6 linked regions of the Canis lupus familiaris genome follow. The protein of the gene in region 3 purifies or fractionates together with the protein of the main gene of each other region. This does not show direct contact. Links are inferred from orthologs where the notes say so. Each region holds a gene or a part of one and is shown on either strand. Other genes may lie near its edges. The genes, in order: PDE4DIPP2, CDK5RAP2, PRKAR2B, AKAP9, AKAP1 and AKAP11.

What was found.
Region 1: the proteins of PRKAR2B (region 3) and PDE4DIPP2 purify together in Homo sapiens (affinity purification with mass spectrometry; 4 studies listed by BioGRID and IntAct, counting the BioPlex papers as one, with this or other methods). This does not show direct contact. The link is inferred for Canis lupus familiaris from reciprocal best matches to the Homo sapiens genes PRKAR2B and PDE4DIP.
Region 2: the proteins of PRKAR2B (region 3) and CDK5RAP2 purify together in Homo sapiens (affinity purification with mass spectrometry; 3 studies listed by BioGRID and IntAct, counting the BioPlex papers as one, with this or other methods). This does not show direct contact. The link is inferred for Canis lupus familiaris from reciprocal best matches to the Homo sapiens genes PRKAR2B and CDK5RAP2.
Region 4: the proteins of PRKAR2B (region 3) and AKAP9 purify together in Homo sapiens (affinity purification with mass spectrometry; 3 studies listed by BioGRID and IntAct, counting the BioPlex papers as one, with this or other methods). This does not show direct contact. The link is inferred for Canis lupus familiaris from reciprocal best matches to the Homo sapiens genes PRKAR2B and AKAP9.
Region 5: the proteins of PRKAR2B (region 3) and AKAP1 purify together in Homo sapiens (affinity purification with mass spectrometry; 3 studies listed by BioGRID and IntAct, counting the BioPlex papers as one, with this or other methods). This does not show direct contact. The link is inferred for Canis lupus familiaris from reciprocal best matches to the Homo sapiens genes PRKAR2B and AKAP1.
Region 6: the proteins of PRKAR2B (region 3) and AKAP11 purify together in Homo sapiens (affinity purification with mass spectrometry; 3 studies listed by BioGRID and IntAct, counting the BioPlex papers as one, with this or other methods). This does not show direct contact. The link is inferred for Canis lupus familiaris from reciprocal best matches to the Homo sapiens genes PRKAR2B and AKAP11.

Annotation. Positions count from the first base shown.
Region 1 is NC_049238.1:57,944,238-57,948,044, reverse strand, and holds the end of PDE4DIPP2 (myomegalin), read right to left. Parts: intron 3,777-3,807; coding exon 3,750-3,776; intron 3,184-3,749; coding exon of another isoform or gene 3,157-3,183; coding exon 3,105-3,156; exon of another isoform or gene 3,099-3,104; intron 2,478-3,098; coding exon of another isoform or gene 2,422-2,477; coding exon 2,228-2,421; 3' UTR 1,038-2,227; downstream 1-1,037. UniProt on the Homo sapiens protein: Functions as an anchor sequestering components of the cAMP-dependent pathway to Golgi and/or centrosomes.
Region 2 is NC_049232.1:73,961,397-73,966,383, reverse strand, and holds the end of CDK5RAP2 (CDK5 regulatory subunit-associated protein 2), read left to right. Parts: intron 1-284; coding exon 285-411; intron 412-3,241; coding exon 3,242-3,288; intron 3,289-3,652; coding exon 3,653-3,709; 3' UTR 3,710-3,749; downstream 3,750-4,987. UniProt on the Homo sapiens protein: Potential regulator of CDK5 activity via its interaction with CDK5R1. Negative regulator of centriole disengagement (licensing) which maintains centriole engagement and cohesion. Involved in regulation of mitotic spindle orientation.
Region 3 is NC_049239.1:13,675,584-13,680,514, reverse strand, and holds part of PRKAR2B (cAMP-dependent protein kinase type II-beta regulatory subunit), read left to right. Parts: intron 1-3,444; coding exon 3,445-3,551; intron 3,552-4,931. UniProt on the Homo sapiens protein: Regulatory subunit of the cAMP-dependent protein kinases involved in cAMP signaling in cells. Type II regulatory chains mediate membrane association by binding to anchoring proteins, including the MAP2 kinase.
Region 4 is NC_049235.1:17,682,225-17,687,155, forward strand, and holds part of AKAP9 (A-kinase anchor protein 9), read left to right. Parts: intron 1-224; coding exon 225-330; intron 331-2,033; coding exon 2,034-2,216; intron 2,217-3,202; coding exon 3,203-3,403; intron 3,404-4,294; coding exon 4,295-4,527; intron 4,528-4,931. UniProt on the Homo sapiens protein: Scaffolding protein that assembles several protein kinases and phosphatases on the centrosome and Golgi apparatus. Required to maintain the integrity of the Golgi apparatus. Required for microtubule nucleation at the cis-side of the Golgi apparatus.
Region 5 is NC_049230.1:31,842,463-31,847,826, reverse strand, and holds the start of AKAP1 (A-kinase anchor protein 1, mitochondrial), read right to left. Parts: upstream 3,530-5,364; 5' UTR 3,342-3,529; intron 2,054-3,341; exon of another isoform or gene 2,034-2,053; 5' UTR 1,964-2,033; intron 1,524-1,963; 5' UTR 1,416-1,523; coding exon 1,272-1,415; intron 1-1,271.
Region 6 is NC_049243.1:8,486,429-8,492,074, reverse strand, and holds the start of AKAP11 (A-kinase anchor protein 11), read left to right. Parts: upstream 1-2,326; 5' UTR 2,327-2,463; intron 2,464-2,524; coding exon of another isoform or gene 2,525-2,668; intron 2,669-2,939; exon of another isoform or gene 2,940-2,993; coding exon of another isoform or gene 2,994-3,347; intron 3,348-3,500; exon of another isoform or gene 3,501-3,772; intron 3,773-5,646. Other genes in the region: atherin-like, read right to left, coding at 1,771-2,124, 2,525-2,668, 2,994-3,347. UniProt on the Homo sapiens protein: Binds to type II regulatory subunits of protein kinase A and anchors/targets them.

The sequences.
Region 1 (3,807 bases), on a different chromosome or scaffold from region 3:
CAACAAAGGGGGAGGGAGGTTATGTGCTGCCTTAAACATAGGATGTTGTTTCTTCCCTGGCATGTAAACAGGAGCAAGAACAGCAACAAGGTTGGTTCAAATCCTGGTTTAGTCATTCCCCCTGGCTCACTCTGAGAGCAACCTGGACCCATGATTGGGTCCATCCTTAGGTTCCTCTGAGAGGGGGAAATGTGGAGGCTGAGAAAATTAAGGCCATTCCACTTGAAGTTCAGCGTTAGCACAAGTACAGCCACCCCAGGCCCCTGTGAATAAGAGCTGAAGTTTACATTACTTCAGTTACAGGAAAAAAAAAAAAAAAAACAGTTTACAGCTTAAAGCCCTAGAAAGCCCTATTAGAATGAGAACAGAGCCCAAGCCAGTGGCAGAAAGTCCCATATTAGAATGAGAACAGAGCTTAACGCCCCTGAAAGCCCCATATCAGAATGTAAATAGAACTTGAGAAATTCCTCCTCCCCCCGCTTCTGGAGGTCCCCTAGACCATCCCATAAAACTAAGCTGAAACCCAGCTTGGTGTCCAAGTCCCTGCTCCGCTGTGTCGGGTACACTTGGACCCAAGCTCGAGCTTGTAAATAAACCCTCGTGTGTTTGCATCGGTGTCAGCTCCTTGGTGGTTTCTCCGATACGTAACCTTGGGCACAACAATCCATTCTGCTGATTGGGCCAGCGAGTTCCTCTATACTGACAACCAAAAGCCTTCATGGAAACACTTGAACAGCAGAGTGTGACAGCAGATGTGGGGTCACCCCATGGACTATCAGAGTAGGAGGCATCTCACCTGAGGTCTGACTCTTGTTGGATCTTTCTGTTACTGGTAATGGTGGTGTGAGGATAGTATTAGTGGGTTATGTTTGTGGTGATTGCCCAGGTTTGTAACTCTTTCTAGAAATAATTGTGGAGGGATAGCTTTATAGTAATCCTTAGAAGGTAAAGGTCATAAAACAGGACTCTTCCAAGGAATATTTGCAGATCTCTATGCCAACATTTATGGAGTGACTTACACACTTGTTAATCAAATGTCTTTGAGTAAAACAACTTTATTTATAGTCTTGGGTCAATGTGAAAGGACAAGTTTAAACTGTGGTCTGTAGCCCACCTGCATCACAATCACCTGGGGTATTGATGCAAGAAATGCAGATTCTGGGACCCTCACCAACTAAAACTCTTGGGATTGGAGCCCAGGAAGTGGCTCCTGTGATCTCCACTGCTGACTCTAAGACTCTCCAGATCTAAGAAGTACCCTCTAATATTTTCAGATTAAGGACTCTTAGAAAAAGACAAAGAAGGCAAGATGTCTCCTTTTAAATTTAGACTTCAAGCATTAGACTATGACCTTCATAGAGGCAGCGCATCTTTCATACTCTTACCAGCCTAGAGATTGGCACTGACGTTAGAAACAGAGCAGGTGCAGAAAAACGTTTTATTCTTTATACAGATTTTACTTTCATAGCCACCAGAAAGATTCTTTCATTTCCTCTGACAGACCCTGTCCACCTGTTATGTTGCCCTCCACATAGTGCTATAGTAACATACATAAATATCTATGGTACATTTATACACGCGTACATGCCTTCTAAAGCACTGCTAAGACACAGACTAGGCTTGCACACAATGGGGGCTTCTGAGGTGCCACTTAACGTGATCCCTGGTTTGTCTTACACAGGACTTTCAGTGAGCTTGGTCTGGCCGTGAGTCCTACTTGCCAGAGAGGAGTTAGGATGATGAAAAGAGACGGCATATTTAGAGTGAGGTCGCCACACTTTGGAGATCATAAGAGAATGGAAATAGGAGGTGCCAGGCTAAGCAGGAGATGGCAGGTGGGAAGCCACTGCTTTTACCAGGTGGATCAAAGCCCTCAGGTGCTGCAGTGTAGACTGATGCCCAGCCTGACAGTGTGGCCAGCTGACGTGGCCCCAGGTAAGGGTGGATCTGGGAGCAGTGCTGGCTGAGCCCCACTGGCCCCCAGGCACCTTTGTCACTTGTGTGCTGTGCTCTAGAACTGCTGAGGCGCTCCCATGTGGGGACCACATGTAGGAAGCAGGGTCCAGGCCCCCTGAGTTGACCATCTGAAGAAAGGTGCTGCAGTGAGAAATGGCTGCTGCGAGTTCCCAGGCCACGGTGGCCCTAGAAGCAGGGTCAGGAGCTCCTCTACAAACCCTGCATGTTTTTCTCAGTGCTGGGCTGAGCAGCCCCTGAAGGATGGTGTTCCTTAGCCCCAGGAAAGGCTGCCTTCCTTTCCCCCTCGTCCACTGGGCCATGCCTGACTCCTCCTGGACCCTCCAGCCAGTGCGGAGGAGTGGGGTCCAAGCCTCCTCAGCAGATTGGGACCTGCACAAAAGGGGGGCAGGCCCATCCTTCCTGCTGTTTGAAGGACCTCTGGGGGCTCCTCTTCTTGCGTGGCTCCTGGAAGGCAAGGGTCACAAGACTGGGGTGCTTGCCAGAGCCCTTAGGGACTTCACCTGGGAACAAAAATATAAGCTGAGAGCCCAGTATCAGGCCCTGCTGGTGGCTCCCTGAGCTGCAGTGAGCACTGGGCAGTGGCAGACCCAGGAGCTCTGTGAGAGCCTGTAGGGGGATGCACCCAGGGGCAGAGTGTGCTCCTGAGGATCCCCTGCTGCCACCAGGTCAGAGAGAAAGCTCCCCACCACCAGGGACAGGTGATGGCCCTGCTCAGAGCCATGATACACATAGTGCCCAGATCCCACACTCCCTCTTCAGGGGCCAGTTCCATCCCCAGTCACTTGGAGCAAAATGTTGCCTTCTGTGACCTCCCAGACAGAGAAGGGCTTGGTATGACACATCCACATGTAGTAACAGCCTATTGTAGGAAGGAGAGGACATTGTGCAGGGAGGTCCCCTGTTCAGTTCACACCCCATTTATTCATGAGGAGAGGAAGGGGCTGAGTCAGCAGGGAGCTCAGAACCCCCTGAGTCTAGTGCCCCCTCTTACAGATGAGGGGCCACCCAAAGCCTCAGGGACAGGGATTAGACACTGGGCCTTAGGTCCTTTCCATTGGTCTCTGGGAAGTGCAGAGGAAATGTCCAATCAAGGGGAAGCCAGTCCGTGTTTGGGGCTGTAGGGTTACCTTTGCTGGGGCAGGAATAAGGCTTTACAGAGGCCATCTTGTAAGTGTTCTTCTATAGAGGCTCAGGAAAGAAAGGAGTCAGCAGAGAAGAACAAAAGGGAGTTAACACCCAAAAAAAAAAAAAAAAAAAAAAGGAGAGTGAACTCATGTCCTGACCCATTTCATGCTGTGGGATCAACATTCTCTCAGGTTACAGTCAAGGAACCATCCTAGGAATAGGCCCCATTGCTCATGGCAGAGCTTTAAAGACCATGTGAAAGGTTTAGGTTCTGATTTGCAGGCCACCTGCTATTCATCATCAAACTTGCTAGGGAATGTATTAGTATTTTAAGGTAATGTACAGAATGCCTGCCATATGGTAACATGTCTCCTCAAGTTTCATTTTTATTTGTTACCAAATTCGCTTTTAGGTCAATAAGAACCAATGGTTTTCTTTGGAAAAAGTTGTATGAAAATTGAATTGCTCTTCTCAGCCTGATAGAGTATGCAGTGGAGCAACCGATTAGATTGCATCTTGTTTTCATGTGTTCATGAAGTGAATGAGAAGTGTTACGGGAAACCCTAGAGCTGGCCCCAACACCCCTTTCCTGGATGCTGATTCAGAGGCTGTCTCCCCATGTCCCCTGACCTTGAGAATCAACTCACTTGCTTTCCTCGGATTCCTGACTTGGCCTAAAGGAGGGAAGAAATGTAGAGAGGAGAG
Region 2 (4,987 bases), on a different chromosome or scaffold from region 3:
CGCCCGTGCTGCTGTAGGCGGGTGCCCCCAGGGCGGGGCTGCGGATGGGGGGCTAGCGTGGCAGGTGCTGCAGGGCAGGGCGCCGGGGCCTGTGCCGTCCTGGTTCCCCAGCGCTCCCGACGGCGCGGGTCCTGCAGGTCGGGGCGCGGGAGCTGGGCCCTGCTTGTCGTTCACGGGCCGCTCTGCGCGAGGGGGAGCGTCTTTTTCTATGTGTCTTGATTCTTTCCCACGTGATAGGATGTTTTGTATTCTCTGCTCATTTTTCCAATTCCTTTTCTCTTGAGACTGGAGAAATGAAGGCAGAGATCACCAAACTACACAAAAAGCTGTTTGAACAAGAAAAGAAGTTGCAAAACTCTCTGAAGCTCTTGCAGCTGAGCAAGCACCAGGAAAAAGTCATCTTTGATCAGTGTAAGTGACGGCTGGGGGTGGGCCGCTGTGTCTGCCCACTTGCCGCCCTGAGCCCCGACAGCCCCGGGCTGGACACCCGCTGGGAGGCCCACAGCAGCTGTCATCGTGCCTCCTGTTTGTGGGTTTCCTGTCCTAGCTCGTCCTTTCTGACCCGCACGGGCAAATAGATGCACTGAACGGACCCCGTGCAGGCCACGTGGTGCCAGGGGCGGTCCTCTCGCTGGGGCGGCGGGTGCCTGGCATCTGCCTTGACCGGGACCTTGACGTGACCTTGGCCGGGGTGGTAGGGAACAGGGGCAGGGAAGTGGGGGGGGCGTGGGCTTCTTGGACAGAGGGACAGCTGGGCGGAGCCCGCGGAAGGGGCGGTGTTGGTCAGACGGAGGGGGCGGCGTGGACACGGGCCGACGGGCAGCACGTCAGGCTATGTCTGGGAGAAGCCTCGAGCGGTCCGCGCGGCGGGTGGGGGGGTCACTGGCCAGGACTGCGTCGTGAGAGGCGTCGGGGAGCAGCCCCGCGGTGCTGGCGTGCGGGAAGGGCCTGCTCGGCTGCCCCCGGTCCCCCGGCCAGGCCAGGAGGAGGGCCCCGGCCGGGGGACTGGGGGACCGGCTGGTCTTGAGAAATACTTCAAAGGCGGACCCGGGACTCGGGCTCCGAGAGGCTACGGGACACTGGTAAGGCGAGCGCTGTCCCTGCCGGGAGCCGGGGTGGTGGGCCGCCGCTCCCTGTGCCCGGAGAAGCCGTGGGCCACCTCGGCCCGGGCCCACTCGCTGTGTGGTGGCCCCTCGCGGCTCCGGGGGCACCAGGCTGCCTGTGCCGCTCCTGTCGGGGGCCGGTGTTTCGGGGCATTTCTGAGAAGCCCAGGGCATAGACTGCTGGTGGGCATGGTTCCCCTCAGCTGTCCCCCAGAACCTTCTGGAAGCCGACTCCGTGACCCTGGCAGGGTTGGACGCCGGGTCGTGCAGCGGGCACTCACTTTGTGCTCCGTGCCCCGTGCCGGGCCTGGCACAGAGGCGAGGGGGCCGCCCTCCAGCACAGGGCCTTGGCTTCAGGGCTGACATGAGAGCCGGCTGCAGGGCCATGTCCTGGGGTCCGACTGCGCGGGTCCGGAGGGGCGGGTTGGCGTGGGCGAGCGGGCGGGCACAGATGGCGGCAGGTGGCCTCGGGGTGAGCCAGGAACATACTCAGGATGTGCCAAGGGGCCTGCTGAGAGACAAAGCCAAGTCGCCTGGTGGGACCGGGGCAGGGGGGTGGGGGGCAGGGCACGGGCTGGTGCAGTCCCTCTGTCTCGGAGGGTCCCCGCGGCTGGGGGGGGGAACGGCCAGGAGGCACAGGAGGCGGGGCGTCCTCATGGTGGCAGGAGGTCGGAGGCCGCCCCGTGGGTGCTGGCTGGCCTGGGCGCTGGCTGGGCCCCACGGCACGCGTGTCCTGAGGAGCCTGGCGGGCGTCTGGGGCGGCACCCATCGTGGAGCACCCGTGGTGGAGCCCTTGGCCAGACCCCGGGGGTGGGGGTGGAAGTGGCCCCGGGGCCTAGGACTGCGGCGGCCTGTGTCCGGGCGCACGGGGCTAACGCACCTGCTGGCCGGGGTCAGGGGCGGGCTCCCGGGATCCAGAGCACCGAGCCCGGCCTGGGCCCTTCGCCACAACCCTGGTGCCGTTAACGAGCGCAGTGCAGGTCTCTCCCCGTGTGACCTGCAGTAAGTGACGTTCCCTCCTGAGCTGCGGAGTCCTGTCCCCGACACGCGGGGGTCGCTGGGAGGCCTCGGCTGCCCCGGCCTGGGTCCTGACCACGACTCTGTAAGAACTGCCCGCTTCTCGTCCGGACGGATGGTGACACCCAGACCCCGCGGTGCACGTGCCCGACAGACACGGCCGGTGTCTCGGCCCCCTTCCCGAGCTTGCACGGGGTCCGTGTGTGGCGGGTGGCCGCTAACTCGGTGTCACCCTGTCTACCTCCAGGCCTCGGCCACAGCCCACCGGGGAGGGGCCGTGACCCCAGGGCCGGGCTCTGCCCCCCCCACGTCCCCGGTGGGGCGAGTCCTGAGAGGAGCAGCCCCTGCCCGCGGCGAGGGTTCGCGGGGTTGCAGGGGCGCAGGCGGTGGCCCCTCTGGAGGCAGGGCTGGCCGGTTGAACAAGCGCCCACCGCCCCAGTGTCTCAGATTCGCCAACACCGTCACTCGGGAGATGTGTTTCCTCGGGCCGGAATCCAGCGTTTCCCCAGGCCGTGCGTGGTCCCGCCCTGAGGGTGTCTCGGGGACCCGGACGGCAGGATTCCGGGTTCCCGGCAGGGGCGGCTTCCCAGTGGCCGGGGGGTGGCTGTGTTGGGCGAGAAGAGGGTCTGGGGCGGAGGTGGCACCCGCGGCCTGGGGCCCCTCCACAGTGCATCCCGGGAGTGTGTCGGGTTCTAGCAGCTGCAGGGCCCAAGGAGAAAGGGCCCAAAGGTCATGGCCTTGCGCAGATTCACGTCCGCTCTGCGCTGGGACCTGCCTCTGCGGCCCTCGCCGTGGCCCTTAGCGCACGGGTTTTCTCAGAGTCAGCCACGGGCCCTGCGCTGCACCGTCGCCCAAACCCGTAGGGGTGACCCGGGTCCCCGGGTGCCCGCAGGCCTTGCTGAGCCCGCAGCGGGCCGGTACCCGCGATGTCCTGGCCTCGCACGAACTCGCGGAGGCGCCTCTGGCCCAGTGGGCGACGTGGTCTCGGCGCGCGTGATGGGTGGAGCCTCCCACACCCGCCTCCGCCTCCGGTCTGGGCGCCCCAGGCTTGTCCGCAGGGGGCCTGACGCCCGGGGCACCCGTCTGACCGTCCCTCTCTCTCTCTCTCTCTCTCTCCTCAGTGGTCATAACCCACAAAGTCCTTCGGAAGGCCAGAGGGAACCTGGAGGTAATGCCCCCCGGGGTCCCTTAGGGAAGGGGGCCCGGGGCGGGGGCACCGGCCAGCAGATGACCTCGTCAGGAACCGGGGGCCAAAGGGGACCAGGTGCGAGTCCTGCACCAGCAGCTGTTTTCCGCCGGCAGCACAGTTTCACGTGGTGGCGCGGCTCAGGCCTGGGGTGGTGGTCGCGGTCGCGCTGCTGATCCCCCCGGGAGGACGGCACACGCCTCAGAGGAGGGAGCATGGCAGGCGTCGCTGCCGCTGGTGCCGAGAGCGCTGCCTGCTCCAACAGCGTGTCCCTGAAAGCGCGTTCACTCGGCCTCAGAAGCCCTCTGCTGGACCTAAAACTCTCCTTTTCTCCTCCTTTTCGCAGCTGAGGCCCGGGGGCGCCCACCCTGGAACGTCCAGCCCCAGCCGACCGGGCTCCTGAGACCTCCTGCCAATAAAGCTTGTGGTTCCCGCCGAGCGGACGCTGTGGCTTGTTCCCCGGGTGGGTTCCAGGTCCCGGGCGCTGGCTGCAGGACTCTGCCTCCCCTCGCGGCGTCTGTCCCGCGGCCGGCCTCAGGGGGCTCGTCACCGGCGTTCGGGTGCCGTCGGGCTCCGCACTGGGCCTCGGGCCGCCCCACCCGCGGCGCTCAGCCGCTCTGCAGCCTCAAGGTCCTCGTGGGGCCCTGCAACCCCGCGGTGCGCTCATTCCCAGCAGCGCCTGGAGCCCCGGGCCTGAGCCGCGGGGGCGGCCGGGGTGTCGGCCAGTCACGTGGCCGGCGAGGAGTGGGGTGGCCGGGCGGTGCCTGCATCCGGCCTGCGCAGGGGGCGCATCACCTCCGGGCAGGCCCCAATGGCCTCCTAGGACGAAGGGTCCACGTGAGGCCCGGCGTGGAGACTCGTCACGGTGTCCCCGGGGGGCGGCGGCCTCTCCAGCCCACTGTCCCTACACTGCCCCGTGTTGGCCGCAGCCTCTGTGTGTGACTGGCCCGTCCTTGTCCTGAGCTGCTCGCTGTCCCCGAGCAGTGAGCGCGGTGGGGCTCAGCCCTCGGCACAGGGAGCGGCCCTGACCCCCCCGGGATACCAGCCCCTCGGCACAGGGAGTGGCCCCGACCCCTGGGACCCCGGCCCCTCCGCGGGGCGCTCCTTGCCCAGCCCTGCTGCCACCTCTCGTGCTCCGGCCACCTTCCACTTGCGGCCTTGTGACCCGGGTCAGACCCGTCCTGGGGGGACAGGCCTGGTCCCCTCCCCCGTGGGCGCGTGCCCCCCCACCCCCCTGTCTCTGCCCAGTGCCTGGGTCGTGGGCTGCCACCGGTGGGAGAACGGCTGGCCCTGCCCCGCGGCCCCGTCCTCTGCCCCCTCCCCTGTTCTCACACCCCCCTCACCCCATCTGCTCCCCTGCCCTCTCTCCCCACTCCCCTGTCCAACCCCCTGCCCTTCCCCCTCCCCTCTCCCCTCCAGGGCCCTGCGCTTTCCCTCCGGGCTCTGCCCACTGCGCTGCTCCCTGCCCCTCCTGTCCCTCCTGGGCCTGCGACAGCCCCCCCCGCCAGTGTTTGCAGGACAGAGGCGCCCCCCCGCCCAGCGAGGCCCGGGGCCAGGACGGACCACACACGGGGAGCTGTGGCGTGCCCCTGGACGGGTCCCGCGACTCGGGCGAGGGCCTCCTGGGGGAGGCGGGTGGGGGCCTCGCTGCAGCCCCTCCCCGGAGCGCAGCCCACAGGCA
Region 3 (4,931 bases):
TCACAAGTAGGTGTCAGAGCTCACGCAGGGACCCAGGGAGGGGATAAAAACCACTTCCTGCAGGACTCGCCACCATCGTTCCTCCAGAAGCTTTGCTTAGCCAATGTGAAGATGCAATAGTATGTTTTCTGTTTAAATGGAGAGCTGGGGTTTTTTGTTGTTTTCTTTTTTTTTTTAAGATTTTATTTTATTTATTCATGAGAGAGACAGAGAAGCCGAGACACAGGCAGAGGGAGAAGCAAGCTCCATGCAGGGAGCCGGACATGGGACTCAATCCCGGGTCTCCAGGATCATGCCCTGAGCTGATGGCAGGCGCTGAACCACTGAGCTACCTGGGCTGCCCAGAGCTGGGGTTTTTAATGAAAAGTTTTAAGTCTGTGTGCCTATACAATTTATAAAAATCCAAAAAGAACAAAAGAGGAGTCGGGGAAAGGAAATCCCCTTTGTACCCCTGCCTTCCAGCAACCCAGCTTCTCAGGAGCCACGTGCTTAGAGCATTCTCATGGGTATTTCTCCAGGGTCATGTGATTTACAGAGCAGTATATTGTTTTTTAAGTTTCAGTGGCAGCAAACTTTCCACAGTGTCCTGCCTCATTCTTCTTTTTACTTAACAATATAGCCGTATTTATAGAGGTTTTGTATTCTTTTAAAAATTATTGTATTAGTTTATAAAGGTTGAGATTACTAACATTCATGTATTATAAAGCAAAACCAGGAAGACACATTAACCTTTTGCTGTTGTCTAATTTATAAAAATTGCAAACATAGCCAAGGAGGGCCCACAGCATCAAAATAATATTGAAAAAGGAGAGCAAAGTCGGAGGACTCACACTTGCTAATTTCAAAACTTTTACTACAGGGGTGTCTGGGTAGCACCGTCGGTTAAGCATACAACTCTTGGTTTTAGCTCAGGTTGTGATCTCGGGGCTGTGAGATCAAGCGCCACGTCAGGCTCCATGCTCAGCGGGAGTCTGCTTGAGATTCTCTTCTTCTGCCCCTCTCTTCTTTCTCTCTAAAAATAAATAAATCTTTTTAAAAAAACTTTTACTACAGAGCACGAGGAATAAAAACAATGTGTTAATAGCATGGGCAGATGCATAGAACAATGGAATAGAATTAAGAGTCTAGAAACAAACCTATACATTTGATTTATATGTTTAATTTGATATTCATTTGATTTCTGATGAGAGTGCCAAGACCACTCAATGGGGAAAGAAAAGTCTCTTCAACAAATGGTCCTGGGACAATTGGGAACCAAGTTGGATCCCTCCTTTACACTGTACACAAAAATGAACTCAAAATGGATCCAGGACCTAAATGTGAGCTCCCAAACTATAAAAACTCTTAAAAAAAAAAAAACCCACAAGGGTAAGTCTTCATGACCTTGGATTTAGCAGTGGATTCTTGGGTAGACACCAAAAACAGGAATATGAAAAGAAAAGAAGTTGGACTTCATAAAAAATAAAAATTTTGTGCATCAAAGAACGATATTGAAAAAAGTGAAAGACATCTACAAATGGGAGAAAATATGTGGGAAATCCTACATATAAGGGCCTAGTATCCAAAATACATAAAGAACTCTTACAACTCAACAACAAAATAACAACCCAACTTAAAATTGGTCAAAATACTTGAATATAGACATTTCTCCAAAAAAGATACACGAGTTACCAGTAAGTACATGAAAAGATTCTCAACATGGCTAGTCATTAGGGAATTGCCAATCCTGAAACCACAATGAAGTACCAGCCCAGCACCAATAGGGTGGGAATAATTTTTTTTTTTTTAAGAAGGAAACATAACAAGTGTTGGTGAGGATGTGGAGAAATTGGAATCCTAGTACATTGCTGGTGGGAAAGAAAACTGTTTAGGCGCTGTGGAAAACTGCTTGGCAGTTGCTCAGAAGTTAAACCTAGAATTACCGTATGACTCAAGTAGTTCCCCTCCTAGGGTTAACCCAGAAGAGTTGACATAAACATTCATAAATAGCCAAAAGGTGGAAACAATCTAAGCGTCCAGTGATGGATGAATGGATAAACCAATCGTGGTATGTTTACAGTGGAATATTATTCATCTATAAAGAAGAAGAAGTTGGGATATATCTAGAACAAGGATGAACCTCAAAATGCTGAGTGAAATAAGGCAGATGCAGAAGGTCATGTTGTATGATTGTGTTGTGTGAAATATCCAGATTAGGGGAATCCATAGAGACACAAAATAGGTAGGTGGTGCCAAGGGCCAGCGGGAGGAGAGAATCGCAAAATGCCTACTTGGTGGGCACAAGGCTTCCTTTTGAGGTGATGAAAATGCTTTATAACTAAGAAGTAAGTGGTAGTGGCACAATTTTGTGGCCACTGAATCGTTCACTCAACCGTGGTTAATTTTATGAGAAATTCAACCTCATGAAAAAACTGTGTATATATAATTCATCTGAGCATTTTGATTTCCATTAGTTTTCATATTTAATGGCTCACATACACTTTAAGGGGGCAATTAAATGAGCTGAATCAATCACTGAAGCACCTCCATGAAATCCCTGGGTTCCACAAAACCCAGTTTGAGAAACACCGAGCTCTTTTGTGTATTCGAGGGCCTTTGAATTGTTCCTGTATTTGTTCTGCGGAAAGATTTGTTTGTTCTTCACCTTCTAGTTTATTCTCACCAGCTGGAGTTTATCCTTAAGCCTTGTCAACCACGCTTCAGCAGAATAAAAATTTTATGTAACTTAAGTAGTTGTTGAAGAATAGGTTTTATGTTTCTGGCTTCTGTTTTAATAAATCTGTCCTAGGGTGGTGAATGGTTGCTTCTTAAAGAGAACCGTCATGATAAAGAATAGTGTTTCAAATTTGCCATCATTTTTGGGTTTGCATATGTTTTGTTTTGTTTTTCCTGTTCTGTTGTTTTGTTTTTAGTGCTCAACCAAAAGGATTGGAGGCAGAATTTGGATTCACTAAGTACTTAGGTAATCCCTACATAAATCCTAGTGATGACTAAACATAGGGAAGTTTTATTTTTTTATATTTTTTATTTTTTTTTCATAGGGAAGTTTTAAAAACAGTTATCTTTAAAAGATATTTGCAGTAGTTCATTACGAACCTGGTCATTTTAGTTGCCAAGATTCTATTTCATGTATAAGGTCTGTGGTGGTTTGGTGGTTCATTTTTCAATATATTAAACTGGGTGATCGTTGCACTGAAATATTCTGAAGTAGCTAATTATAATTACTTTCATTCAGGTACTGAATATGAAAGGAAATCTATAATCTCCTTTGTTAGGTGGTAAGGACAACTGCACTGTGTATTTTTTTTTTTTTGACAAGACTTAATGGCAGTGATGATATTTCTTTTTCTTTGAGCTGGTTCACAGAAATACAAAGCTGATTACAGTCAAGAGAACATATCGTAGACAAACATAAAGATTGTATCTTTTCTCTTTAAAAAATAGGAACAGATGTCTCAAGTGTTAGATGCCATGTTTGAAAAACTGGTCAAAGAAGGAGAGCATGTAATTGATCAAGGCGATGATGGTGACAACTTTTACGTGATCGATAGGTAAGTTTCGCGTAACCTCACTGCTGAAATGTAAGGAACCATCCCTGTAGAATCTCAGTGGTTCTTATAACAACTGGCAGATTAATATTCGATAGTTGCTGTTACCTCTTTAATATTCACTAGCTTTTAATATTCACTGTTCCCTCTTTATTCTCGTTACTGTATAAAAGGCACAGGAAGCCCGCTGGGAATACGTGTGGTGAAACCACATTAGATCATGGAAAGAGGCATAGTTTATAGAAGAAAGGAGGATTTTGGTTAGTTCGATCTATAAATCTCAATCATTTACTGTGAGCTGCCTCACTTATTAACTTTGGCTTGAGAGGATGCCTGCTACACTTCGAAGGCAAGCAGCGCACAGCATCTGGGGTGTTGAATCATATAACTCAGTCTGTTCTTTTTTCATTAACTATAAAGTAAAGCATGCGCATGGTAGAGAGGGGAGTTTATGCTGTTTCCAGAAATTGTTTATGCATTCTTGTGCATTAAAAACATTATAGAGAAGTTATTTTGAAACATTGTAGAGAAATTATTTTATTTAAATGAGAAGGCATACACTATATTGAAAAATGTGATTTCAGAAAACCTGCGTTGTGCTTTACTTTGTCAAAGCACAGTGTGCTTTAAGCGATAATTAGGTTAAGAGCCCCAAACTGTACCAGGGGAGCGGTCTGAACAGAGGCTTTATTTCTTCACTTCTGTGAAGTGATGCTGAAGTGTCCATGAGACAGTCGGCACCCCCGGCCCCTCCCATTATGGGTGCCACACAGGTCGTCTCTCAGCCGGATTCCCTGGGTTGCATTTGCTTCTCTGGGTGGAGTTGTACTCAGCTCTGAGCCATGCGGGAAATCACACCCCATCTGTCTGCGCAGCCTCATTTCTTGACTTGGCTCTGTGGTTGTCGTCTCTCCTACATCAGCAGTCATGCACGCTCTCTGCGTGCAGGGTTCTCTCTGAGTCCTCCCTTCCCTCGTCCCTAATGCCGTGGTGACCTCGTAGAGCTATTGGCAGGGGCTTCAGGTGAGCCCTCTGATTTTAGCACAGCCCCCCCCTCCCCCATTGTCCCATATGTAAATTAAAGCCTTGATTTTGGAATCTCTGACAGCTTTCATTGGTGAAATTCCTTCAGCTGTTCCACCGTATTTAACTGTAGGGGTGTATGGGAGACCCAAATATGATAAAAACTCCCTTAACCTCTCCATGTTCAGTTAGATCCTAATCACCCATTTGACAGATGAAAATTCCCAGATATGCAGAAGTGACGGGGGTCCCTGAAGTCCTGCCAGCCTGGCATGCAGGTCTCTTGGCCACTGTTCGTGGTCTTTCTGTGGCTCCACTCTGCCCAATGCCTCACGTTGTCAGGGAAGAAATGCATATGAG
Region 4 (4,931 bases), on a different chromosome or scaffold from region 3:
TGTTCATTGAAATTGTAAAGTTACTGCATGTTCACATTAGGAGATGGTATTCTTTAACAAAACTCTACCTATAAACAAATATCTCAGCACCTTAAGTCCTGGAAAGAGAATACTCAGTGTGAGGGAGAAAACAAGTAGAGTGTCACCTGATCTGTCAAGTTTGTGCTAGTCAACACCACTAATTGAGAAAGATCTGTTTTGACTTTTTGTCTTTTTCCTTGAAGACTACAGTTTGAAACAGCAGATGATGAAGACTTCATTTGGGTTCAGGAAAATATTGATGAAATTATTTTACAACTGCAAAAATTAACCGGCCAGCCAGGGGAAGAGGTAAAACTTTTAAAAACTCTTTATAAGATATCAATAACAAAGATTTAATGGAGCTATGTGAATCATTTGAAACTGGCACTGTATTTTCTAAAGAGTTTTAATTTTGTCTTTTAATTTAAATATTAATATTTGTTCTTCCCTAACAGACAATAATGAAAATTTGAGGGGAAATTAATTTTCATTATCATTGTTGAATAACTATAGTGGCATTTTATTGTATTATGATAATTAAGTTTCAAGATTATGATAATCAAGTCTGGCTTATCTCACCACTCTCAAAACCACCCACAGAATGCCACCATTGTCTTCATAGTTAACTAATCTGATGAATCTTTTCATTCCCTGTCTTTTTAATTTTTTTGTAGCATTTGATACTTTTGACCTCTCTCATCTTAAAAACCTCCTTTTTTTACCTTTTGTGACAGTATATTCTCAGTATATTTTGTGACCGTATATTCTCAGTATATTTCTTCCATTTCTTTCATCAGTCACCTTCATGAATTCCTCTTCCTCCTATCCTGATCCATTTTTTTTCCTCTGTGAAAGCTCATTTATTCCCACAGCCTGAGTTCTCAGTAGACGTATTTATTGAACAAATACTTACATAAGGCATGTGTTATGTGCCAGTTACTACCCTGGGTTTTGGGCTACAATGAATAAATGTGATAACGATCTGACCACTTAGATCTCTATCTTCTAGTGGTCTGTGGTTCTAGTCTATACCTCTATCCTGTGATCCAGATTTATATTTTCCATTAGTTACAGGAACTCTTTCTCTGGGGAAATGCGCCTCATAGTGACCCCTTAGGAACCTCACAGGCACATTCTAAACTGAGCATCTTCTTTTTTTCCTCCTTCTGTCCCCAACCCATGTTTCTGGTCCTGATAGAGCCCACTTTGGGAATTTGGAAGTCACCCTAGACTACCTTCCTTCACTCTCACTTGTGTATCCTAGTAGTAATGAAGTCCTGTGCTTTTACTTCCTAAATATCCCACGTGCCCTTAGTCATTGCCTTTATTCAGGCTTCCAGTATTTCTCACCTAAACTATTGTAATGACTTCCTGATGTGTCCACCTGACACCAGGATCTATCTTCCCTAATTTACTGTACTTCGCATGCTGCTAGCAAAGGAATTTTTTTTAAGATTTTATTTATTTATTTATTTGAGAGAGCATGAGCAGGAGGTGGGCAGAGGGAGAGGGAGAGGGAGAAGCAGACTCTCTACTGAGCAGGGAGCCTGACACAGGCTCGATCCCAGGACTCTGGAATCATGACCCAACCCAAAGGCAGATGCTTAACTGACTGGGCCACTCATGTGCCCCCAAAGGAATATTTTAAGACATAAATTTTGTTTGTAGCACACTCTGAAAGCCTTTAGGGCTCTCTGCTGCCTCCATTTAGGTCTATTATCTATAAAGTGAAGGCAGCCTTTACTCTAACGTAACCAAGCAACCTGTAGCTCCTGAAAAGCAACACACTCTCCAACAAAACCCTTGTGCCTTTACACATGCTATTCCTTCTGCTTAATATGCTCTTCCCTATCTTCTTTCCTACCTATGAAATGCTTCCTAGTTATTTAAGACTCAGTTCAAGCACCACTTCATCATGAAATCTGGTGTTCTCAGCGTCTGCTCACATGTTGATGTGCATTGTTCATAAACATTTGTGCTTACACGACCTTAGTACCATTTTCTCTTTCTAGCCTGGTTTAGTGTCCCCTGGTACTTCTTGTGGCTCGTTGACTGAAAGACTGCTAAGACAAAATGCTGAGCTGACAGGACATATCAGCCAACTGACAGAAGAAAAGAATGATTTGAGAAATACAGTTATGAAGCTAGAAGAACAAATCAGGCGGTATCGACAGATAGGAGCTGGCAGAGATTATGTACGTCTGATTTTAGTGTGACCATGTTAGAAATATTGCTGAGTTACAATTTCTACTCTCTAGTTTCAATTTTTAACTCTAATATAAAAATATTAGATATCTGATTCTTAGTAAGATCATTGAAAAATGGTAGAGAGATGACAATAATAATGATAATAATAATAATAGATATCATTTATTGGGGGCCTTCTCTGGGCCAGATCCTGGGTTCTGTACATTCAGAATCTTTAATCCACATTCAGTCTTGCACATGAGAAAACTGAAGTCTGTAGTCCAATCAAGAACTGCTTATCTCCAAAGCCAGATACTTTGCTACCTAGGAACCACCAGTGGGTCCATGTTAAGAAATGTTCAAATGTGAATTCTGACTGTTCCTCATCAGTTAATTATCAGTTATTATGTTTGTGACTCAAGTGAAAGATGCCATTAAATTATTTATTTCAGTCTAATAAACCACTCTAGCAGTTTATTTAAAATTTTTTCCAGTTAAAAACTACAAAATAAATTGCTAGCTTCTGTAATATAAAGATAGGAATATAATATAAAGATAGAAAGGACTCCTGAGACAAATACAGGATAACACATCCACAGAGCTTCTGCATGGATCCACTTCCCTGTGTATAGCCGGGGATTTTTTTCCGCACTCCCCCAAGGCGCTGTTTCAGGGTTAGGCTCTACATTTGAACCCAGATGGTCGGTCTATTTATTAAGTCTCTAGACTTTATATTTCAAAGCTCTGCAAAAATCTAAGCACTGTCTTTTGGGTGAGGCTTCCATAAAGATTTTGTTTTAAAATTAATCTACTAAGCAAAGGACCATATACTTAATGTATATTCTTTACTATCAATTGAGATCGCTGTTGAACTCTCCCTCTCTGAGATTGGAAAGCTGAGATCCCATAGGGGATACCTTTAATGTGTTTAATTTAGATTTTTCTTCAGAGACTTATTCCTAAAACTCATGTAAGTGGGCTCTCGTTTCTGCAGTCTTCCAGGTTTTCATTCAGTGGTGGTGCCAGCATTGAAGCCATCATTGCTTCTGAAAAAGAAATCTGGAACAGAGAAAAGTTGACTCTCCAAAAATCCTTGAAAAGAGCAGAAGCTGAAGTGTATAAACTGAAAGCTGAACTAAGAAATGAAACTTTACTTCACAACCTGAGCCCTGATTCAGAGCATGCTGCTATAAAGGTAGGAGACATCTTCCATCTAAACATGTACCAAGGCTGGTCCTCTTGCCTTGTTTCATCTCTCACTAACCTTAACTGAACAGAGTAAAGAAATTTAGGTGGCGCTCAGGCTGCCTCTAGGTCTCTCACTATTCGATGTGCATCATGAGTACAGGCCTCCAGCTGGTCACAAAAACTTGGTGGCAAGGCATGCCGTACTGGCAGCACCGCGAGCTCACGGTCCTGCTTCCCACCATTTCATCCCTGAAGACCAACAGAAAGTTTCATTTCTACTGCCAACAAAAGCTCTACTACATTCAATACCAGAGCATCATGTTCTGTAAGATGGTAAACCCTCTGAACTGCCTTTCTCCTGACTAAAATGAATACTGTAGTTAAAACTGCTTTTAATCTGTTAACATAAAATCCAAAACAGAAAGAAACATGTTTGGAATATTTCTTTTAACTATGGAGTGAACATAAATTTATGCTTCTTGAAGAGACAGAGAACATTAACATTGAAAACTTTAAAGAAAAAAAAGATTAGCGACCGTAATAATAAAAGTAGCTCTACGCAGTTAGAGGAGAAAAAAACTGAGATAATAATGGAATGACAAAAATATTTGCAATGAATATGATGAATAGAGCCTAAACTCCAAAATGAAACCCCAAACCTAAGTATAAGGTTTGTAGTCACATTCCATGGACTAAAAAGAGGCAGAAATGTAAAATCTAAGGTTGATTATCTTTATCTTCAACTTTGCTGATCAAATGGAAAACAGTAGTAGGATATCTGCCATTCCACTACTAGTACTTTTGTAAAATAAAATCTATGTTATCTTCCCCTAGAGAACAATTTGAATGGCTTTTCAATAATGTCTTTATGTTCTTCCCCCCTTTTTTTTTAACATAGAGAATTTATGGTAAATACCTGAGGGCAGAAAGTTTTCGGAAAGCGCTCATTTATCAGAAGAAATACCTGCTGCTATTACTGGGTGGGTTTCAGGAATGTGAAGATGCCACCCTGGCTCTGCTGGCCCGGATGGGGGGACAGCCAGCCTTCACAGACCTAGAGGTGATCACCAATCGTCCAAGGGGCTTCACCAGGTTTCGGTCAGCCGTCAGAGTGTCCATGGCAATTTCTAGGTAAAGTGTTGGAAATAAAATGCATTTTAATAGAATCTGAAAGGATTTAGATTTTTAATCCTCTCCTTTCTCTGCCTAGTATGCTCCGTATTCATGTATATGAGACATTTATCATCAATAAAACATGCCGACTTCTTTCTTTCATTCTTGTAGCCAGGGATACCTTATATTGCACCATGAAGATCCTATAAAAAGGGCTTCCCAGGTGCAGGTAGCTAGTAACTCAGAGCTGGCACATCCCATCTGGATTGTGTTTTGGTTTTGTTTTATTTTTTAACTCTGAATAAGGCCATGAACTAGCTCAGACCTATAAATAAAAGGAATCACAAAAGGGAAAAAAATGTTTTTGAAAAATTACTTAGGCTACACATTCATTTTCTTCATTGCTAAAATAACCCACTCAT
Region 5 (5,364 bases), on a different chromosome or scaffold from region 3:
TACACACAAGGGGCCCAAGACCAACCTCAAATTGAGGTGTGTGTGTGTGTGTGTGTGTGTGTGTGTGTGTGTGAAAGGAGGGAGTTGCTACCCAAGATACCAGCTGCCTCTCAAAATAGCTGGGAGCGGCCTCCACCCCTCTGGTACTAGAAGTTGATCCTAAGGGTCCAGCAGTCCACCCTCCCCTTCACCTCTGGAGAGTCCAAGAATTGCCTATAAGGCAGAGGCCCACACTCCCAGCCTGGTTTTGGTCCTAGTTGATCCACACATCACCCGGACCCTGGCCCCCTGTGTCACTGCCCCCTGGCCTCCACCTCATCCATTCTTTTCTCAGACCTAGTTCACACTGAACACAGGACCCATCACTGGGGACACAGCACTGCTCTGCAGTTTGCCAGGACACCTCTACCACTCTCCCACCTAAAAACCCTCCCCCTCCTCGTCCCACCTGTTCACCAGAGACTCAGGCTCCAAGCCCCTAAACCCACCATCCACAGCTCTCTACAGTCAGCTAATCACACCTCAGGAAACAAGTTTCTTTTTTTTTTTTTTTTTTTAATTTTTTTTAAATTTTTATTTATTTATTTATGATAGTCACAGAGAGAGAGAGAGGCAGAGACACAGGCAGAGGGAGAAGCAGGCTCCATGCACCAGGAGCCCCATGCGGGATTCGATCCCGGGTCTCCAGGATCGCGCCCTGGGCCAAAGGCAGGCGCCAAACCGCTGCGCCACCCAGGGATCCCAGGAAACAAGTTTCTATACCATTTCTGAGCCAGATGTCTCCTGCTTTGTGGCACCAGGGCCCCCTAGGACGTGTTTATTAACATGGCTACCCTGAGGCCACGTCACCCAACCAAAAGAATACTGTATGCTGCACCTAGGTCCCCAGTGCCCACCACTCTCACTCGGCCTACAGCTTAGGAGCCAGGAGACAGTATCCCTGCTCCTCCAGGGAAACTGCTTTTCTCTATGAGGACCTACAGGTACAAGAACTGCCCAACTGAAGTGCTCCCCCAATCTGAGAAAAGAGGTGTAAGGATCCCCAGACAGGAGAAGGCGTGCTTTGTTTTCTTCCTTGCTACCTAGGGCCTGTGATTAGAGGTATTAGCCATCTCCACCAAAAACAGAGCCAAGAGCCCATATGATCAGCAGCTGCCCCCCACAAAGGAGTCCCGCTGCCTGGAGGTGCCTCTCAGGGAGCGCCAGGTGACCAAGCAGTCCCTCACTTCCTTAGCCCTTAACTTCCAAGGGTCTTACCCAGCCAATCTCACCTCAGTTAAAAGACTTCTGGTGAATTGATAAGGTGCCATGTGCCCCACTTTACATGGTCTGATAGGCCTAGACAGGGGCTGTGAGAGGCACCAACCTTTCCTGAATTCACAGACAGGGCCGCCTTCACCTGTGCATATACACATAGGCCCACATGTGCAGGTGTGCACACTTCAGCCTTATTAAGCTCTCTGCTACCTTCCTTCTCTGGAACAGACTCCTGAATTGCTCTCTTTGCCCTGGTTTTTGGTTTTCTGTAAAAAAAAAAAAAAAAAAACTGAACTTCTCCAGATCTGAGTGGCATTTAACACCATAGGTCTAAAAGCCTCACACTCACAAGCTAATTGAAGGCAGCCACCTCCCCCAGGGCCTCCCCCCTCCTGAGGCCCCAGACACTCAGGCAAGCCAGAGAAAAGCCTTGGAGAAGGATACAGCACCCTGCCTGAGGGTTGGTGGGGAGGAGACATGGCTATTTTGAATCTGTTGGAATTAAATAGCTGCCTGCTTATTTTTAGCAGGTCCATTTGCCCGGGAATAGATGCACGCTGGCTGGTTGCCCAGTGGTCACACAGAGCTGAAGGCAGGCACGTGCCGTGGCCCCACAAGGCCTTGAGGTTTACCTGCTCTGTCTGAGTTCTAAAAGGATTCCTTTCCTTTCTCCCAGAGGAACCTGCAGCTTCTCAGAAAAGCTTACCTCTGGAGAAGTAATGGCCTCACTCCCAGCACCGATGACCAGCCCAGTTACTGCAGTCTAGAGCCTTCTGCTAAACAAGAAAACAAATTTCTGGGAACAGTACAAACAGTGTTGGTCCCAGTGACTAAGCCCATTTGGCTGCAATTATTGTGGGAAAAAAGAGCTGCATGTAATTAATTGATGGGAAAGTTGATCATAAAAACAAGCACTTAGTAGCCAAGTGGCCATCAAGTCCACTGCGGACTTAGGCCTGGTCAGTGAAGTCACATCCACTCAGCATTCTGAATGGACTTTTCTATACCACCCCATCCCCACACCCCACACTCCTGGCAAGTTGAAATTTGAACATTTCCAATATTCCAGGGTTATGTGTTCACATTCCCAAAGACTGGCCCCTGGTGTTCAAGACACTCCATCTCTAGAATGCCCAGGACGTCAAGTTGTTCAGGGGCTTTTCCCCCTGAAGGGGGTCTTCAAAGGACAGGAACAGCTAACATGATCCAAGACCTGAAGCCCAGTATTTCCTACCACTGCATTCAGAGAACAGCAGGCTATGGGCCAGGTCAAGGTCCCCCCTCCCTTCTTCCATCCCATCCCCTCAACCCGCCCCACCAGTCTACTGAAGGAAGACCACAGAGGTCTGTGCAAGACCACAGAAGGGCCTCTTAGTTTCATAGGATGCTTTTACCTGATTCCTCATCAGGTTGAGGTTACGCACATACGTTCACTCACGTAATAATTCACACATAAATACGCTTAAGTTGCTGCAAGAAAAAGATTCTGTCCACCAGAAGCTCACAATGTGTACTGAATAATCTGTGTGTCTCTCACACACAGACCTGCACCAAACTGAGCCCAATATCAGAAGTAGGCAACAGAATCCAACTGCCTCAAAGGCACCAAGAATTTGCTCAGGTTGCAATGGTGGGTTAAAGACGTAAATTAAGGTTCTAAACCCAAGATGCCTTTGCGGGTGGAAGGGAGCAGCAAGTCCCAGACCAGAACAAGTCCTGGGAGTGAAGCTGAAGAGCTGGTAGGAGGCCAGATAAAAGGAGTTTGACCTTTACTGTCAAGGCAATGGGAACAAGTGGCAGCAACTGAAACATAGCCAAAGCAGAGCAGGTCACAAGAGGTAAAGGCCAGGGTGATCTCCAAGTGGCGACTACAGTCCAATATTGGCAACTACTTAGTCACAGGGGGCTAACTTGAAATGTGACCAGTGAAACTGAGAAACTGAATTTATATTTTATTTAATATTAATTGAAATAGCTACATAATGCTAGTGGCTACCTAAAGGATAGTATAGTCCTAGAGGGCCTTCCCAGCAGACCAGAAACAAACATAAGACCTAGATAAATGCTGTACAGCCAATGCCTACCTTGTTGGGTGGTATCTGGTGCTGCCACTGAGGGTGGGGGATGGTGGTAAGCTGGGCAATTCACCCTCAGCATGGCTGGGGCCCAGGAATCAGAGTGCTGGAGCCATGCCTCAGGGACGTTGGTCTCAGCCCAGCCCTGATGTTCAAACAGTTGTTACCTTCATCCATAGGGGGCCTGTGTGGGCTGTGACTCATGTTGGCACCCTAAAGATTCCAAATTAGCTCACAATGGGGCTGTGAAGTCCTCCCCATACTGTCCCCACATCCTTCATTGTGATGGCCCCACAGAGCAGCCAGGTGAGGCACCGTGGCCAGCCCATCCCCACTCCCGGTTAGGTAGATCAGCTGTCCAAAAGTCATAGAACGCTTCCCAGGCTCTTCTCCAGGAGACTGAGGGCTTAACCCAGTACCATCAGGGTGTGAGTACCTGCTCGGTGAAGTCTTCTCCAGGCAAAATGGAGACCCAGAGTCCAATCCCAGGAGCTCCAGGTAAGAAGAACCAGAAACAAAAAATCCCATCTCTGGACATGGTCTCAAATTAAGAATTGTTTCTCCTCTAATTCAATTACAAATTAAACTTCCAGTTTGGAAAACTTGGTAAAAAAGAGAACCCCCCACACAAAGGTGAAATGCCCAGTCTCCCTTGTTCTGCTGACCAAACACTGGGCAGGTCCAGTCTCATTAAGTTATAAAGAACAAGGCTGGGGGGGGCGGGGTGAGGGGTGGGAATCAGCATTTTCTACAAAGGTCTTCCCATTGCTTCAGTTAGGGAGTAGGAATGAGGTTTTCAAAAACCTTAATAAAAACCATGTCACATCCATCCCCAGCTCTTGGCAACCACATTGTTTTACCAGTAAATTCTGACAAATCTCTGAGGATAGTGATAAAGCAGGTACCAGGGAAGTGTTTCTAGGTACACAGAGTTTCCATCCATGACCACAGAACACTACTCATGACTGCCCAAAAGATAGGAAGTTGTGCTCTGTCAAAAAGCTTACCCAAAAAAGCTAATAAAGGTGACACATGCCTTCAGGAGAAATTAGAAGATGGTGTGAGGCAAGCAGCCCTTCACACCATCACCTCAGGTGGGCAGATCAACAGGTGAGATGCTGATTTTCCAAATGGCAGATGGTAGAATATGACCAACCCAAAAGTCACATAAAGGCCTAATGTCATTCCTATCCAACAAATACTTATGGACACCTATAGGGTACAAAGCACAGCAGGACACAGAAATGAATCAGAACGTACTTTCGAGGCACTTTCAAGTCTCACAATTTCTTTTTTTTTTTTTAAGATTTTATTCATTTATTCATGAGAGACAGACAGACAGAGAGAGAGAGGCAGAGACACAGGCAGAGGGAGAAGCAGGCTCCATGCAGGGAGCTCAATGTGGGACTCAATCCTGGAACTGCAGGATCTCACCCTGAGCCGAAGGCCGATGCCCACACTGAGCCACCCATGTGTCCCAATCAGTTTCTTTTTTTGGGGGGAAAAAAAAAACAATGACCTTCCTCAATGGGCTGTTGGTGCCACCCTTAGCCACTGACCAAGTGACAATTTTGGTCCAAGAGTCAGGCAAGTATCCTGGATGGGATGGGGGACAAACAGGAATTAGGCTGCCAGTTTCCACAGATTAGAATGTTCTAATGTCCTGGGATGGAAGAGGAGAGGTTATTAGCCTGAATGCCAGCACTGTGAGAGCTAAGAGGGCTTCAGTTATCCCATTCCATATGCACTTTCATTCCGTACCCATTTTTCTCACTACCTAATGCCCAAATCCAGATCTCCTCTCATTTAAACTATTTCATAAAGTGCAGCCAGATCTTCTGCTGGCATGGTGAAAGGGATGTGGGCACCTCATTGTCTTTGCTAACTTTCCACCAACCTTCTCATCTTTGGCACACCCCAAATTCATGCCTTCAAAAGGACTTGTCCTTGTGCATGAGTTAGCTTGCTTCTTGTCAGCTGCCTACCCTCCCCCACTTTTTCTCAGCAAGCTACTGAACGATGGGCTCCATCA
Region 6 (5,646 bases), on a different chromosome or scaffold from region 3:
TGGGAGGATTTATGGCTCTATTAATATATGTAAGAGTGGTGGAGTGGAGTCCATTGTTCAACTACATTAGAAGTACCAAGCAGCTGTTTCAGTTAATCATTACGAGGACTGCAAACAGCACGCAAAAGAGAGCGCTCCATTTTTTTCAGCATTTTAAAAGAATAGTCTTAATTTGCTAAAATAATGCCTTTTCTCTTTTTAGCATTTTTCCCCTTTAAAAAGTAGTGCTTATTTGAAATCTTATTTTCATTAACATTAAAGTGTTAGCTTAACTTTAAAATGTCGCCTCGGATCTTTTAAAGATTTTCTATTTCTTAAATCTTGATCAGGAACATGTGAACCATTATTAAATACTACGTGGGTTCAAAATAGCTACAGGGAATATGAAGTTGAACAGGTGGCAATGCTTCCGTTTTCACACTCTGAGAAGGCCAAGGTTTCTTAGGGAAGCATTCCTGGTATCTGTATGAACCAGTTTCATAGTTCCTCAGCTGGGGTGTGTGTGTGTGTGTGTGTGTGTGTGCGTGCACACACACGCAAGAGTAGGGGCATCCAATTTCATTTGGCTTGCGCTGCTGACTCTTAGATTTTACAAAAATTTCATTTCCCTTTCCAGCTTCCGTCTTACTGATGCGTGCATGCCAAAGTGTAATTCAGGCTTAACCACTCTGTGTGTAAGCTAGTTAAATTGTCTTGTTTTATGTATGAAGGAAGCTGACACTCAGGAATGATAAGGAACCTTGATTTGGTCACTTTACCAGTTAATGAGAGATCTTCCGGTGGCAATACAGTCTCCTGATTTCTGATTCTTTTAGTGAAACATTTTCATATCCTAAACCTTCAACCTCTATCTTTTCACATCTTATAATTAGGAAATAAATATCTGCACCGAACATGACTTTATGTTGTTGTTGTTTTTTTTTTTCATAGAACTGACTTTAGGAATAGATAGAAGAGGTAGTTATCTGTGTGGTGTCCATAGAGAAAAATCAATCAATCAATCAATAATGACTTTCCTTTTGGGACATTCATTTTCCCAAGTAACAAAAAAGTTTCCACTCATTTCTCTTATTAAACAGCAGTAACTGAAGATGCATCCAGATGCTTTTAACAAAAGGCAGCAGCCGGGCACCATGGCTCTGACCTAATGGATTCTAAGAAAAGGAATGTCAAGGTCATTGGAAAATTAGGCCTTTCAGGATTGTGTCCGTGTTGGGACTACTAGTCTCAATCTCCTTGCTTCCTCTGTGACCTCCTTAAAAAAAAAAAAAAAATTCCATTCTCTGCAGGGAAGACTTTTAGAGACAAAAAGGGTAGAGCATAGGTGCCCCCTCCCCTCTTTAGAATTCTAGGGCCTGGTCCTGGAGTTCCTGGATCGAGTCCCACGTCGGGCTCCCTGCATGGAGCCTGCTTCTCCCTCTGCCTGTGTCTCATGAATAAATAAATAAAATCTTAAAAGAAAAAAAAAAAAGAATTCTCCATCGCTCTCTGTTGCATTTAAATCCTCAACAATTCCTTCCTCAGCTTACAAAGCCTTACAGGATGCGGCCTATGTTTGCTTACTTCTCCAAGCTTATTTCTTCTTACTTTCTCCTATTCCCCCCCCCCCCCCCCCCCCCCCCATCAAACCCAATGCAAGGCCTTTGAATTCGCTCTTCACTTTGCCTGGAACGCTCTTCCATCCGACGTCAGCCTGGCGGTTGAAGCAAACCACGGCTTCCGCGTGTCCTCCAAAGGCCCGCCCCTCCAGCAGCCGCCCAATCATCACCATCACCATCGCAGCATCGACTGTTGTGATTTTCCTTGCATTGAGCTTGACGCCCCCCAACATTTGTTGTCCTTCTCCCCTTCCTCCCCCGTAAGCACCCAGACTCCTCTGCCCCCATCGCTGCTCAATCCACGGCCTGGAGCCGTGCCTGACATCTGCAGCAGCCCGCCCAATGCAGAAATGGGATGCACGAGGGTTGCACCCTTTGACCCCCCATCTCCCAAACAGGGGTTAGGACTCCTCATCACGAGGATGCCAAGTTCCAAACGTCTTCCGCATCCTCCGGGGACTTCCCGCCTGGATGAGAGGTCCGCCGAGGAGGCTGTGCAACTCGCCCGGACTAGGCCTTCCCGGTCCTAAACGCAAATAACAGTTAGGTGATCGTGCGCGGCTCGGGGGCCCCGCGGGGACCCACGCTTGACTTCCCGAGTCCGACACCGCGGACGTCGGGAAGGGTGAGCACTAGGGCCCGGAGAGCCCGCGATGCTCCTCGCTGAGGTTCGGGGAGGGCCGGCGGCCTGCAGCGCTGAGTGGTCCTCCCCCCCCCCCGCCCGCGATGCCGGGGAGAAGGGGCGGAGCCACGCCGAGAGGATGAGCCCCGCTTAGGCCGCCAGAGGTGCCGGGGCTGCGCTCTGGGAAGAGCCCCCGCTCCCCGAAGACGGCCCGGCGGGCCCAGCCCCGCTGACCCCACGGCGGTGAGCCCAAGGCGCGGTGGGGGGGGCGGGCAAGGAACGCGGGAAGGGCCCGAGACCAAACCTGCGCGGCCGGCCAGCGCCTGAGCATCTTGCCGGAGGAAAGGGTTAAGCCGTTTCCAAGGTAACGGATCAGGAAGCGCGCATGACGTTCGCCGCAGGTTCGTAGGTCAGCCTGGAGTTTAAAGCTCCCACGGCCGGGCGGAGTCTGGCCAATAGGGAGGCCGCCTGGGCGTCACGTGACGCACGCCCCGCCCCCGCCGGCGAGCGGCCCCAGAGCACGTGGGAAGGTTTTTTTTTTTTTTTAAAAAGCCCACCCACTTTTGCGCGGGCTCGGCCACCGAGTTGTTCTCTCGCGAGAGGCGCCGCGGCCTCTCGCGAGAATGAGTGGGAGGCGTGGGGACTAGGTGGTGGTGCGGGCTTGGAACTGCGGCGGCGGAAGCCGGGGGTGGGCAGGGCGAGGGCGGGGGCGGGGAGGGGGGAGGGCCGGGGGCCGGGGCGGGAGGGGGGCGCCCGGCCGCTCGGCGGCTCGCGCTAGGCTGGTGGTTGCGGGCCGGTGACATGCGTGGGAGCTGCGGCGGCTGCGGCCCCAGGTGAGGCGTGTGCGGAGCCTCCCGCAGCGTGAGCCGCGCTTGGCCCCGGGGGCGGGGTGCAAGGGGCGGCCCGGCCCGCAGCCCCCGCTCGGATTTCGGGGCTGCCCGGAGCTGCGCCGCCGCACGGCGGTGGGAGGAGGGCGGGAGGAGCTGGGCGGCGAGAGGAAGCCCGCGGCGCTGGGTCGGGGGGGGAGGGGGTGTCCTTGGGCTCGAGACGGGTCCCCCGGGGTCCGGACTGGGGCGGCCCGGGTGCAGCCTCCCCTCCCCCCGCCGAATGACGAGCTCGGTGTGCATCCCCGGGGTGGTCCTCGGAGCCGGGGCTCCGGTGCGGGAGCTCAGTGTCCGTGGGGTGCGCACGGGAGCGTTTGCAGGAGGAGGAGGAGGTGGAGGAGGAGGAGGGGGAGGGGGAGGGGGAGGTGGAGGACGTTGCACTTTGTCCCCGAGCAGCATCCTTCAGTGTCAGGACCCCAGAGCCCTGGAACCTGGCGCAGCCCAGATCGCGGGACAGAAACGGAAGGCGCCAAGCAGCTCCCCGGAGCCTGGATGGTTTGCATCGTGCTGTCAGATGTCCTCCGAGGCTGCTCGTCGTTAACGGTTTAGATGCCCTCGCCATTCCGTGTCGCGAATGGATTGGGCGTACTTTTTATTATTCCAGGCGCCTGCCTACTCTGCTTTGCACACACATAGGCGGGGGTGACCCCAAAGTGTTAAAAGCGTTGGTAAGATGGCAACGGCAGGGGGAGGATCTAAACCACTACCAGGGGTGTGCGCAGAGCGCGCTCGTGAATTCGTGCTCTCCCTCTCTCTGTTCTCAAACCTGATTCAGCCGGAGCCGGTTTTGGAATTAAGGGTGTTAAGGAAATTTCAGGCTGAGAAATAGAGCTGACACGCATTACCTAATGGTCTTAAGTGCAAACCAGGGTTAAGCATTCTGGATCTCTCTTCAGCTTCGCAGTTACCCAGCCCCTTGCAAAACACGTAAGCTGCTTCCCACCGCTTGTTAGAGGTGATGTTACAGTGACACTGGTTGATACTGATTCTGACACTCAGTATCTGAGTATCAGATTCCTGCAAAATACTCAGAAGATAGAGAGGACTCAAGAATTCTAAGGTACTCAGGAATGCAAAGATGGTTTTAAGGTCTCGTTTAGGACTTGAGAGCAGCAGTTGGCAGCACGGTTCCCAGCACGATCAGTGTCGAGTTAAAATAGTGCATTAGTAATGAATCTTGTTAAACGTCTGGTCACCTTTTTTTTATTTTTTTGCAAGTAGTACCACGGATTTTCTTACTTTCTTATGTTCCTTCTGGCAAAGCAACCCCAGGGTTGAGAATGGATTTCGCTGTTAGCTGTGGCTGTGAGTAACAGGGCACTTTATGAGAGATCAAAGAACGTAAGGCAGTCAGAACAAATGGGTTCCCAGGCTAAACTGGTGACCAGTGATTAATAAATGTACCCATGTAATTGCACTGTTGCTAACTAAGGTCCTAGAGATAGACTCCTAGGCTAGTGATGGGGAACTTGCTAAATACCCTGCACCACAGTAAGGGAGCTTCTTCAGCTTCTAAATTCCTGGGATAAATCTAGAAGCCAAAGAAATCCTCCTTTATCTGTAGGGGCTAGAAGAAAGATAGTACATTTATTATTATTTTATTTTTATTTTTATTTTTATTTTTATTTTTAATTCCAGGAACATACTGTCTGGAAATAGGGAAATTTCCGCTTATAAATAGGCAGTGGATTCTTTTAAATACTTAAGGAAAATATGAAAAACTTAAGAAATGTCTTTTTTGAGAATGGGCAAAAGAGACAGGTCTGAATTTTACAAAGCTCCCTCCCATTCCATCGTGGCAGACTGATTTTCAAGGACAGAAAAATCGAATTCTGTGCTAGTCTTTATAACCTTTTGGTAAGGGTTTCAAGCTTTTAGCATGTGGATATTTGTTGATTTGTCTTGCCTTTGAAAAGTAACTGAAGTGGGGCACCTGGCTGGCTCGGTCTTTAGAGCATGTGACTCTTGATTTTGGGATTGTAAATTGGAGTCCCACATTGGGTGTAGAAATTACTTAAAAATAAACTCTCAAAAAATAAGTCGTTTAGGGTAGGATAATATTTTAGGCAAACTGAATTTGTTCTCTTTCTGTCAGGTGGTCTGCATTTTAATAATAAAGTCACCCACTTGGACGGAGGATGGGACAGGCCAGGAAGAGATCCACACTTAGTTTGAGCTTGACATGAGGATGTGTCAACTGGTAAAGTAGGCAAAGGAAAGAAAAAATACTATTACCAGTTTTGAAACAGACCAGAAGATCCGAAGGTCTTTATTCTACTCGTCTTTGCATATAAAAGTTCATTTTATTGTTAAATACTAGAGAAAGCGTTTGAAGTGTATAGAGACTCAACAGGTTAAAAGGAGAAACGTTAACATTTTTGGATTAATCTGAGATTTTTTTCGTGAAAAAAAAAAAGATAAATGGCCTGGTGGTCTGGAATAGATTGGATGTAACTTGAATGGAAATGAAGCAAAATATAGAGTTTGGGCTTTGAAGTCATGCAGATCTATTAATATAAACGAGCCTCCATTTCCTCATCCC